3 linked regions of the Coturnix japonica genome follow. The protein of the gene in region 1 purifies or fractionates together with the protein of each later gene. This does not show direct contact. Links are inferred from orthologs where the notes say so. Each region holds a gene or a part of one and is shown in the gene's direction. Other genes may lie near its edges. The genes, in order: FOSL2, cyclic AMP-dependent transcription factor ATF-7 and COP1.

What was found.
Region 2: the proteins of FOSL2 (region 1) and cyclic AMP-dependent transcription factor ATF-7 purify together in Homo sapiens (affinity purification with mass spectrometry; 3 studies listed by BioGRID and IntAct, counting the BioPlex papers as one, with this or other methods). This does not show direct contact. The link is inferred for Coturnix japonica from reciprocal best matches to the Homo sapiens genes FOSL2 and ATF7.
Region 3: the proteins of FOSL2 (region 1) and COP1 purify together in Homo sapiens (affinity purification with mass spectrometry; 3 studies listed by BioGRID and IntAct, counting the BioPlex papers as one, with this or other methods). This does not show direct contact. The link is inferred for Coturnix japonica from reciprocal best matches to the Homo sapiens genes FOSL2 and COP1.

Annotation. Positions count from the first base shown.
Region 1 is NC_029518.1:24,459,825-24,463,471, reverse strand, and holds part of FOSL2 (fos-related antigen 2), read left to right. Parts: intron 1-1,234; coding exon 1,235-1,342; intron 1,343-2,395; coding exon 2,396-2,905; 3' UTR 2,906-3,647.
Region 2 is NW_015439867.1:313,274-316,920, forward strand, and holds part of cyclic AMP-dependent transcription factor ATF-7, read left to right. Parts: intron 1-1,504; coding exon 1,505-1,604; intron 1,605-2,609; coding exon 2,610-2,723; intron 2,724-3,400; coding exon 3,401-3,547; intron 3,548-3,647. UniProt on the Homo sapiens protein: Stress-responsive chromatin regulator that plays a role in various biological processes including innate immunological memory, adipocyte differentiation or telomerase regulation.
Region 3 is NC_029523.1:4,925,439-4,929,085, reverse strand, and holds part of COP1 (E3 ubiquitin-protein ligase COP1), read left to right. Parts: intron 1-1,019; coding exon 1,020-1,155; intron 1,156-3,647. UniProt on the Homo sapiens protein: E3 ubiquitin-protein ligase that mediates ubiquitination and subsequent proteasomal degradation of target proteins.

The DNA of each region.
Region 1 (3,647 bases):
CGTGTGCCCAGAGGTGCGCTGCCTGCTGGTGAAATTGTTGCCACGGTGCAGAGGAGCCTGCAAAAAGCAGAACAGAGAGAGGGGAATGCCCAGCGGCTGAAGTAAACTCCCTGAAACTGCGGAGATCAAAATTAGGGAAATGAACTAAACCAAAACAAACCAAAATGAGGTTAGAATAAAACTAACGCTAAAAGGCAGCAGGAAGACAATCTCGTTTGCAGTTTTAACATCTCTGAAGATACTAAAACTGAAAGCTTCTATGAGAAGAGGGTTTTCTTTTTTTTTTCTTTTTTTTTTTTTTTTTTTTTTTTTTTTTTTTTTTTTTTTTTTTTTTTTTTTTTTTTTTTTTTTTTTTTTTTTTTTTTTGTTTCTTTTCCTGTCCCTTGCCAACAAGTGCCCTGCAGAGCACTCATCTTGGTTCTGGGCTCGGTCGCAGTAATGCCAGTGTAAGGTCAGACTTAGGCAGAGCAGGACGTGGTGTGGGTGCTCTGGTTGCCACTGCTGGGGTTTATAAGAGCTCATCTCAAATCCCCAAAGCTAGGCCTGACCTCACCAGATCCTGTGGGCTCCTGCTCGCTTCCTCTGGTGTCGCAAGAGTGTAACTCTGGGTTTCTATGGAATCGCTCCTGACTTACATCAGTGGGGATGTCAGCTGGCCTCAGGAAGCCCTTGGTATCACTGGAGCCTTGCCTGCTGATGTGAAAAGCAGTCTGTTATCGCTCCAAGTGCTTGAAAATCTGAGGTCAGATTTTGGGATGGTATAAATAATTGTTGCTTCACAGACATCATGAGAGCTCTGCTGATCTCCCTCTCCCCCTACCCCATCCCCGACCTTCAAGTTAACAACTATTTTTGTGTGGGAAGCAGCAGATATTTTCTTTCAAGAAAGAGGCGCTTACAACATCACACTCTGGTTTTGCTTAATGTACCACCCAAGTTGTGAAACAATCAGAGCATCTTTTATCTGTTGGGCCTTGTTGCAGATTCACTGTCCTCTTACACAATCTCCCCCCGCTGCTCCCCACTCTGCCTTCTCCTCACCCTTCTGCTAAGACCTGGTGCTCGCAGAGATACTGGGCGCTTTCATCTTCTGCTGACATCAGTGGAGAGGGGGAGTGCTGAGCATCCTGCTGGATCAGGCCTTCTTTTCTTTGCGCTGCGGTTAAATCCTCACAAACTTCAAGGAATGCCTTGCTCAGATCTGATTGTGGGTTTTCTTGGCACTTGCCCATAGCTGTCGCCCGAGGAAGAAGAGAAGCGAAGGATCCGGAGAGAGAGGAACAAGCTGGCAGCTGCTAAATGTCGTAACAGGCGCCGAGAGCTAACAGAGAAACTCCAGGCGGTACGTGCTCTGCATGCATTTCTCCCTCCTTGCTGCCTGCCCTTTGGACCAGCTTGCAGGGTGTTGTTCTTTCTCTACCAACCTATCTGGGGCAGATGCTGTAAAATGCATGCTGCCTTCCCCCTCCAGGGCTGCCCAGTGGCGTTGCTCCTGTGTCAGCAGTGGTGAGGGCTCAGCAGCCTAATTTCTTTTCGCTGGCTGCCCAAAACATCCTAGGAGGTCTTTTCTCATAGAGCCTGCTGACCAACGTGCATCTCCCTGCTGTGAAAGCACATCGGTGAAATGTGCTGCTGACTCAAATCTGGGAGGTATTCTCAGTGCAGGGGAAGCTGGACAGTTTATAGGAAGAATGTAAGGATTCTCATGACTAAACTAATATTAAGTGAGAGGAGTACAAACTGGGAGGTCATATCCTGACAAATTGAGGGTGAGTACTTCTGCAAGCTCCTCACACAGGAAAATACTAATTGCTCGCAGATTGACTATGAGCCATCAGTGTTACGTGATCAGGGGAAAGGTAAATGGAGTAATCCTGGGATGCATCAAGGGATAATCCAGTGGAGGTGAAATTGTTAATCTTTTGCACAAGTCACAGGCAAGGCCTCATCTAGGGTATGAGATACAGAAAGAAAATGAAAACAGCTGAGAGATAGCTTTATACTATCTATATCTAGGAAATGAAAAGAACATGACTTAACCTTAATACAGAACCCAGTGGTAGAGGATCTGAGTCCTCCCTGCTAAGATGTCTCTCATGTAGGTAGCAAGGGCTATATTTCCCCAAGAGTTGTAGTAACTGTCCATGATATAACAAAGGTGGGCTCATGAGAAGACTATTTATTTCCCTTAGATTAGTGAAGTTTGGAAATAGCCTCTAGGTAAACACAGGAAGTGCATAACGCTGAACTAGCAAACACCTGGTGCTTGCTCAGCTCATGAAGAGGCTGGGGTGTATCTGCCCACACCAGCTGGAAGCTGGACTTGATGGCCATGTTCTCGGTCAGGAGCAGTGCTAGAACCTCAGATACTTACTTATTCCCTTTTTGTCTGCAGGAAACTGAGGTGCTGGAGGAGGAAAAGTCAGTCCTTCAAAAAGAGATTGCTGAGCTCCAGAAGGAGAAGGAAAAACTAGAGTTCATGCTGGTTGCTCACAGCCCTGTGTGTAAAATCAGCCCCGAGGAACGTCGGAGCCCACCAACCAGCAGCCTCCAGAGCGTTCGGACTGGAGCGAGCGGAGCAGTGGTGGTGAAGCAGGAGCCCGTGGAGGAAGAGATCCCATCTTCCTCCTTGGTCCTTGACAAAGCTCAGAGGTCTGTCATTAAGCCCATCAGCATTGCTGGAGGTTATTATGGGGAGGAGGCACTCAACACTCCCATCGTGGTGACCTCAACACCAGCCATCACTCCTGGTTCCTCCAACTTGGTGTTCACTTACCCCAACGTCTTGGATCAGGAGTCTCCTCTCTCCCCGTCTGAGTCCTGCTCCAAAGCTCACCGGAGGAGCAGCAGCAGCGGCGACCAGTCCTCGGATTCCTTGAACTCTCCCACCTTGCTGGCATTGTAATCCCCTGAGGCCCCCCATTGCCAGTGTGTTACATCCCCTGCCCAGCTCCATGGGGAGACCCCTCCATGGGATTAGAGACAGGCACAGGATCGTTCAAGCACAAGGGCAGCAAGAACAAGAATGGGGAAATGCTGCAGCTCCAGGAAAGAGAGTGAGGGCCAACGCCAGCTCTCTGGAGGCAGGAAACGGCAAGGGTGGGACTGATGCACCAGGACTGATTGTGGAGAGGGCAGTTTCTCCTCTGTAGGGTCTGCCGGTGGAAACCTCATCTTGGCACCATAGTGGACTTGGAGAGCACTGCTGGCCAGGACTGAAGGCGAGCTGCAGACAGTTGCTAGCCATCCCTTTGCTTTGTGAATTGATCTGATCAGTTATGCTCTGTGCTTAGATCTTTCTGGTTAGTTACCTTACAACTTCTTCTTTCCTCCCCTCTCTTTCTCTGCCTATAATTTCCAGTGTTGTCGATCCTATGACATTTCATCCAGTTGTTCTGAACTCTAAAGGATCTTTCTTGGGATGGGCTGTGGGAAACATGCACAATTGCCTTGTTGGGAAGGGGATGCCTGGGAGCTGGTGAGGGGGGACCAAGAGGAGCCCAAGGGCTCATTGGCAAGGGCAGAGCTCATTACCTGTGACACAGACACAGTGAATGGAGAGAACAGGAGGCTCACATGGAGGACTTTTTTTTTTTTTTTTTTTTTTTCCTCTTAACAAGTAGATATATTTATCCCCTTGGGCTCCT
Region 2 (3,647 bases), on another chromosome or scaffold:
GGCTTGTGGTCAACCATAGGTGAACCAGGACACGCTTTTGGCTCCTGTCACCCTTGTTGCCCCTGGAACCCCCAGGTCCTTCTCTGTTAGAGCTGCTTTCCATGGGCACAGCCTTCATTTACACCGATGGGACTCTCAAGCTGCCTTTGCAGCCTGGTGCAGAGCAGAGAGCTGAGCGAAGCTGTCCATAGGAAGCTGTCTGTGTCTTTAATGGCTTTGGGGCCATTTAAAGGGCCCCTTCTGCAGCCCCCTGCCCTCAGCACACTCAGCATCTGCCTCAGGAGCTGTTTGGTTTTGCACAGCAATCAACTGCTCCTTTTTGCCCTGAGATCCATCAGCACGATGCTCACTGCTGGCTGCAGCCCTCGGGAGATGCCTGTGTTCTGCCCCTATTCAGCCCCTATTCAGCCCCTATCCTGCCCCTATCCTGCCCCTATTCTGCCCCTATTCTGCCCCTATTCAGCCCCTACCCTGCCCCTATCCTGCCCCTATCCTGCCTCTATCCTGCCCCTGTTCTGCCCCTATTCTGCCCCTATCCTGCCCCTATTCAGCCCCTATCCTGCCTCTATTCTGCCTCTATCCTGACCCTATCCTGTCCCTGTCCTGCCCCTATTCTGCCCCTGTTCTGCCTCTATTCTGCCTGTAACCTGGGCTGTTTGGCACAGAGTCCCCCCCTCACATGGAGACATGAGCAAATCAAACTGGAGCAATCTGGGCTTCAATGGGGTTTTGTGTCCTCTGCAGATCTCAGGGCCAGATCCCTCCCCTTGCTCCATGGGAGGGGTTTGGCTGCAGCCATAGTGGGGCCGCAGCGGCCGCGGGGGGGTTGTGAGCGAGACAGAGATGGAGGGGAGGGCTGTGACCTCCCCACAGCTCGCCTTGTTAGCCTGGGATTTTCAAAGCAGCCTGGAGGATTTGGGATGCCCAATAGAAATGAATGAGAGCCGAGCGTTGGCGTTCCCAGGGCAGCCTTAAAAATTCCAGCCTGAGTTATGGGCACGCAGAGCCCCCCGCTCTGACCCCGCTCCCCCCACCCCGCCGTCTCTCCGTGCTGGCTCCATCCATCCCCCATCCATCCCTTGTGCTGGACTTGGAGGAGGGGGCAGCGTTTTTCCTCCCCTCCCTGCAGCTCTGCTCTGCTCCCAGCTGCTCTGCACACCATCCTGCTCCCAGCTGCACCGAGCACGAGTTGCTCCAGTGATGTTTTCCTTCCTCTCCCCATCCATTGCTCCATTTTCTCCCCCCTTTCCCTATGCAGGTCGGTCAGAGCCTGAGTGCAGCGCTCTGAAATGGAGCGAGATGGAGCGAAATGGAGGCAGGGCTGTGCGAGCCCGTTCATCTGCAATGGAAAAAGCCCTTGGTTGTTTTCATTTGTAGCAATGAGGCTCCATCCCCCACCCCCTACACCCCCAATGTGCCCTTTGGAAAGGGAAGAGCCTGCAGTTTGTTCTTGCTCCCAATGTTGGCCCCAAATAACCCTCAAACCCTGGGTCTGTGTTTGCAGGTCGCCCACTGGTTCCCTTCCACTCGTCGTGCAGCTGCCAAACGGGCAGACCATGCCTGTCCTGCCCGGCCCCCCCATGCAGATGCCGTCTGTGATATCGGTAAGGGAAATACAGCACAGCTCTGCAAGGTGGAGGGAGGGAGGGAGGGATGGAGGGACGGCGCTTTTCCCCCTGCCAAAGCACTTCCATGCAGTAGAAATTAAAACGCATCCCCCCCCCTGCGCCAACAAGGCTTGAGCAGGAGGGGAGGGTGGGCTTGGATGGGGGGAGCAGCTCTGGCAAGGCAGTAATGACGGGGAGATCGCACTAGAGGGCAATCAGTCTGGAGGAGAAACAAAGCCGTGCCCAGACAGATGGTCACGCCGCGGATGGGGCTGGGAGCTGCAGGAGCTGCTGCTAAACCGCCCCCATTTGGAGCAACGTGCTGCAGGCGGAACCAGCCGAGCTTGCAGAGAACGTGTTGCTCTTTGCAGGCCAGCAAAGCCTCCACGGAGCGCAGCGCAAATGTTCTCCTCGCATGTCGGGCTGTTTGCTTTGGAACTGCCCACAGTGCAGAGCTCAGGAGCAGCTCTGAGCCCCATCAAGAGCCCCAGCACCCCCCTACCCCCCATGCACGGATCCTGCTGCGTGTTCTGGCTTTGGAGCAAATCAAAGCCAAATCTGTGTCAGTGCAGGCAGCTCGTGGGCACGCAGATCCCTGCACGGTGCTGCTGCCTGCAGGCACAGCTTTGGGGCTGCAGTGCTTTGCAACAGCGGACCTGAGCGGCGTGCTAACGCAAGTGCAGGTTCAGTTTTCCCCTTGCTGAGGGCAGAGATCTCTTTGCTTTGCAGGACCTGACGCTTCCATGCACCCTCGGTAATCAGAGCGTTCCATTCCCACCCAGGGATGGGGAGAGGAGGGAGGTGTGGGGCTGCTGCAGCCGGGCAATCCTTCACCAGCAACCGTGGCCACCAAAGGGGAGGCTGCTGCCCTGGGCTGACAGCAGCGCTGATGGATGGCAGCAGTTAAACACCGAGCTGTGTCGGGGCTGATAAATGCGCTCGGTCGGGGAATTATTGCGCAGCTCGTTGGCTCCTAACGCTGCTTCGCTTCCTCCCCATCAGCTGGCACGGCCCGTGTCCATCGTGCCCAACATTCCCGGCATCCCCGGGCCTCCCATCAGCAGCAGCGGCTCCGTTTCCCCATCGGGTCTCCCTGTGCACTCAGAAGCCAAAATGGTGAGTGTTCCGTCTGCACCGTCCCCCCCTCAATGACTTTTGCAATGAGCAGCTGCGATACGGGTCAGGTTTGTGCTGGGATCAGGTGTTGGTGGGGCTGCACTCGGTGCTGGTGGGACAAAGCTCAGCCCAGAGTCGCACGGAGCTGCTGCTCGTAGTTCCAAGGTAACAGATGGGCTGGAGGTGGGTTTGGGGAAGGCAGAGCCAAGAGCAGGGATGCTGCGCTGCAATCCGACGAGCTGGGTAATGGGTTTTGTGCAGAGCCTTCAGCTAAAGGCTTCCATTGTAGAACAAAAGGCAGCAAAACCCCATTGGTTTTCAGTCAGAACGGGGGCTTACAGATCTACCTCCTGCCATTCCACGCTGCCATCGCTCCCATCAGTCAGGTGTCTGTGGGGCTGACAGGCAGAGCTGCACATGGGGTGAGATAGGAGCCATCCTGCCCCATTGCCCGGAGGGGGAGATGGGTCTCCATCCTCCAGCCCTTTCCCATCCCCGTGTGGTCCCACTGGGCGGTGGATCAGTCGCTTTGGGGTGAGCCCAAAGTGTCTTCGCTTGGCTTTGGATCGACCACTGTCACTTCTCAGTCAGCTGGTTCCCTGGGTGGGAGAGGAGCTGCATGAAGCCTCAGCAGGTTGGGGAAGGGGTGACCGATGTCCCTTGTTCTCCTCTTTCAGAGGCTGAAGGCCAGTTTGACGGCGTCTTCCTCCCTGAACGGCAGCAGCCTGGTGGTGGGCTCAGCCAGCACCATGGTGACCGCGCGCCCGGAGCAGAGCCAGATCCTCATCCAACACCCCGACGCTCCATCACCAGCTCAGCCTCAGGTGTGCAGCTGCCCAGCCACAATGCTGGGTGTTACTGAACCTCAGGGCAAGGGGGAGGTTTCCCAAACCCAGCATCCTGGTTTGCAAAACGGGTTAAAAA
Region 3 (3,647 bases), on another chromosome or scaffold:
TTAATAAAAGGCAAAGTATTCAGTAATGTGACTTGCATACTGGACTACCTGCAATCCAGGGTGCTGCATGTCAGAGCTGCAAGGAAGGCAAGGGGGAATTGCTGCAGATTCTGGGGGTTGCTACAAAGCCTGAGGGCTCTGCCTGATGTTTGACTGCCGTTGCTTGATCACATTAGGAAAGCTGGCTCGTCCATGAGACATGGCTGTAAGTTAGGAATTCTTCCTTATATAGGAAACTCTAAATTTTGAAATGGTTGAAATAAAATTCCTTTAGTACCGAAGAAAGTTAAGACTCGTGAGGTTTCGGGGAATCATTTTTAGCCCTCTGTACTGTAATTTACTTTTAACGTTTGTAGCGAACTGTTCCATTTTCCACAGAATATTCATCATTATTATTCACGCTGGCTGAATTTCATCTTGTCTGCTGAAGGTCATAATTTCACAAAACTTACAGCACATGGAGTCTGTTGGTTTCATGCTTGTCTCCTTTCTCTAGCCGTGAAACAGCTCTCCCTCAGCTCTGTTGCTTTTGGAGTAACAAGAGAAATACTTCTTGCTACAAGTTTTTTGAGTGTAATTGACACCAAATGTAGGCATATTGTACCTGAAGTACAGTTCTGGGGGAAAGGAATATATTTTTCACTTCCATAGAATGCTAGACATTCTTTACAGTGCAATTTGATGTGCTTAAGGCTTTTCTGTTAATAAACCTTATGGCCCGTAGGCTTTGAATTTGACTAAAATAAGTGAGCTCATCTATCAGGAAAGCGTATTTATGATCTCTAGGCAGATTCTCAATGCAGTAGGTTCATTGGAAGGACTTAATTTATGCTCTGAAAATCCTGCTGCCTTGAGGGAATGCCAAAAAGATGAAAGAGAGAACCTATTTTTGACCAAGAATCCTCCCCAAATAGCAAGCAGAGGTGGTAACACATGAAGACACGCATCATGTTTGCCGTTGTGTTTATTTACTTTCTTATTCATTTTTCACCCTCTGCAACTCTTCCACCTCTCCCTAGATGACAGCAGAACCACAAGCCAGCTGGATGAGTTTCAGGAGTGTCTATCCAAGTTCACACGCTACAATTCTGTCCGGCCCCTGGCAACGCTGTCCTATGCTAGTGACCTCTACAATGGCTCCAGCATAGTCTCCAGGTGAGAAATTTGGTGGCTCTAGCAGTGCATTTCGTGGTGATACAGGCTGCTGAGGCAGAGCTCATTGCTTGTACAGATCATAATTTGTTTAATACATGTGTAACACTTTGGCTACACCAAAATAATTTTGTGATGAACATGTGGTTATCATCGGTCTGTGAATGTGCTTAAGAGTCACAGTAGTACCTTTTCTGCCAGCTGATATAGATTAGAACCAAGTGTGGAATCTTTGAGAAGCCTTTCTAGTAAGACATGAAGGTTTTGTTGTAGGCTCGATCCTCTTCATGGTACAGTTGCATTAAAAATAATGGAGATCTAGCAGTTTAAGCCATTTTTCCTGATGCTGGTAATGTTAGGAATCTGTGGTGTTATTAAATCTTGTTTGTGGAGCCAGTTGTAATGGCAAATATTAAATAGCTAAGTTGTTGGTGACTGCGATTGCTTGACCTCTGCTAAGTGTTGGAAGCTCTTTCTGCCGTGCTTAAACTGGTGAGGGGGTGGTTGTGGTAAAATCAGCATAATAATTCTCTTTGTGCCAACAACAACTCTGCACCCTTCTGCCACGTGGGATGATCATGTCTTCTGCACCACTAAGGTCTGAGCTTGCAATGGACTTGTTTAGACATATGAGCTGGTGTAGGGAGCCTGCTTTGGCAGGGGGGTTGGACTCGATGATCTCTAGAGGTCTCTTCCAACCCCTACAATTCTGTGATTCTGTGAAATGTCTTTCAACAGAATCAGTTTCTTCTAGTTTCATGCCACGAACCAAGCTCCCTTAGGGATCAAGCCTGAGAAAGCACACGGGATAGGGAAAAGCTGCGACCTGCCAGCAGGCCATACTTTAAACTGACTTCAGCAGCTGCGGAAGCATTCCCTGGGGGATTTAATTAGTCTGTGGTAACTTGGTTAGAGCTGTTGGTGGTGTTGGGAAAGATGATGCAATGTGCTAATTGGGATTTTTTTTTCCCTGTATGGCATACGTGCAATACACACAAGATTCTTAGGGACACATTTAACAGATTTAAATGCATTTGTAGAAGTAGCATCATCCCTAATTTGTAGGTAGGGAGCGTGAATTCCAAAGTGGCCATACCTGGGGTCTTGAAAGTAATGCTACAATGGCATGATGAATTGAACTCAGACTTTGAGCCTTGGTCTAGTGCTGTATGACAGAGCCATCCAGACAGTGACAGAACAGCTTGACTGTTTCTTGAAAGACCACAAGAAATGTGTTATGTGGAGAAGCCAAGGCATGTGTAGCATAAAATACATATTTTCTTTTAAAGCAGCATTGATCCCTTAACTGCTGCAATATGTAGCAGGAATGTATAATGTCCGACTTAGTCACAGAGGTCAGAACACAATAATCACTGATCTGACGTGTATTTAACCTGTGCTGATTGGGTTCGTGCTGGCTGCAATGAAATGCAGATGGGAATCTCACTGCAACGTAGACAAACTTCCTCAGCTACCAACTTCAGCATGGATTGGATTTTTCTCCTTTGCCCTTTCTTCTCCTTGACATTCTGCAAGAACAGCATTTTTGTGGTATTTGGTTAGAAAATACTGGAAGGGCAGTAAATCTCGCTCCGGTTTTGAAGGTATTATAATTCTTGGGTGAAATATACATTTGAATGGTATTTTACTGTTGTTAAAAATGAAGATAGAGTGGGGCCTCCATCCAAGCTAGTGCTAGAATCTGTAGTTACCTAATTTGCAACACATTTAAGCCCCCAAGAGTGTGGCTTCCACCTTTGTGTTTCTCCCTTGCTTAAGCCTTTCGTTTTATCAAAGCATTTAAGGGATGTTTAGGGGTTTCAGTGTGTGGGCTGACTTAAGACATTTTGCGTTTGAGTGTGTCCTTAAGTGCCTTGGTAAAAACAATGCTGCCAAATGTGCTTCCACTGCAACTCCAGTTTGCTTCTGGCTATCCAGACAGTTCCTTCCAAGTTTGAACTGGTTAATCGAGAGTTTATATGTACTATTTGCTGGCCAACATGTTCAGTTGTTCACCACTGCTCTTCAGCCAAATTAGTAGGTCAGAAGCATCAATGAAATAAAAGTCAAAAAGAGAAGTCTTACTGCTTAGCTGCTGCTGTTGACACAAGTGCATTTAAATACAAAGCAAAAATGACTTATCAGTAGGTAATCCTCATCAACTCACCCCTCCAAACAAGGAAACAAAAAACCCAATAACCAAAAAATAGAGAAACAACCCAAAAGCAACCCGGTGGTATTTTTAAGGGATATTTCAAGTATATTTAAAAGTGGAACGTGGGATTGACCTGAAGTTTAGTTCCCTTGTGTGCAGTTTAGCTTGAGGTTTTCTTAAAAAAAGGATGGTATGAACCAACAGAATGCAAAGGTGCCTGGTTTGCATTGCTGTAACTCCTTAGCATTTAATACACTGGACTTGGAGAACTCTGCTCTCTTTAACAGAGAGTTGATAAGATATATTAGCTCTGTGTGCAAAGGAGGTTGATGGAAACATG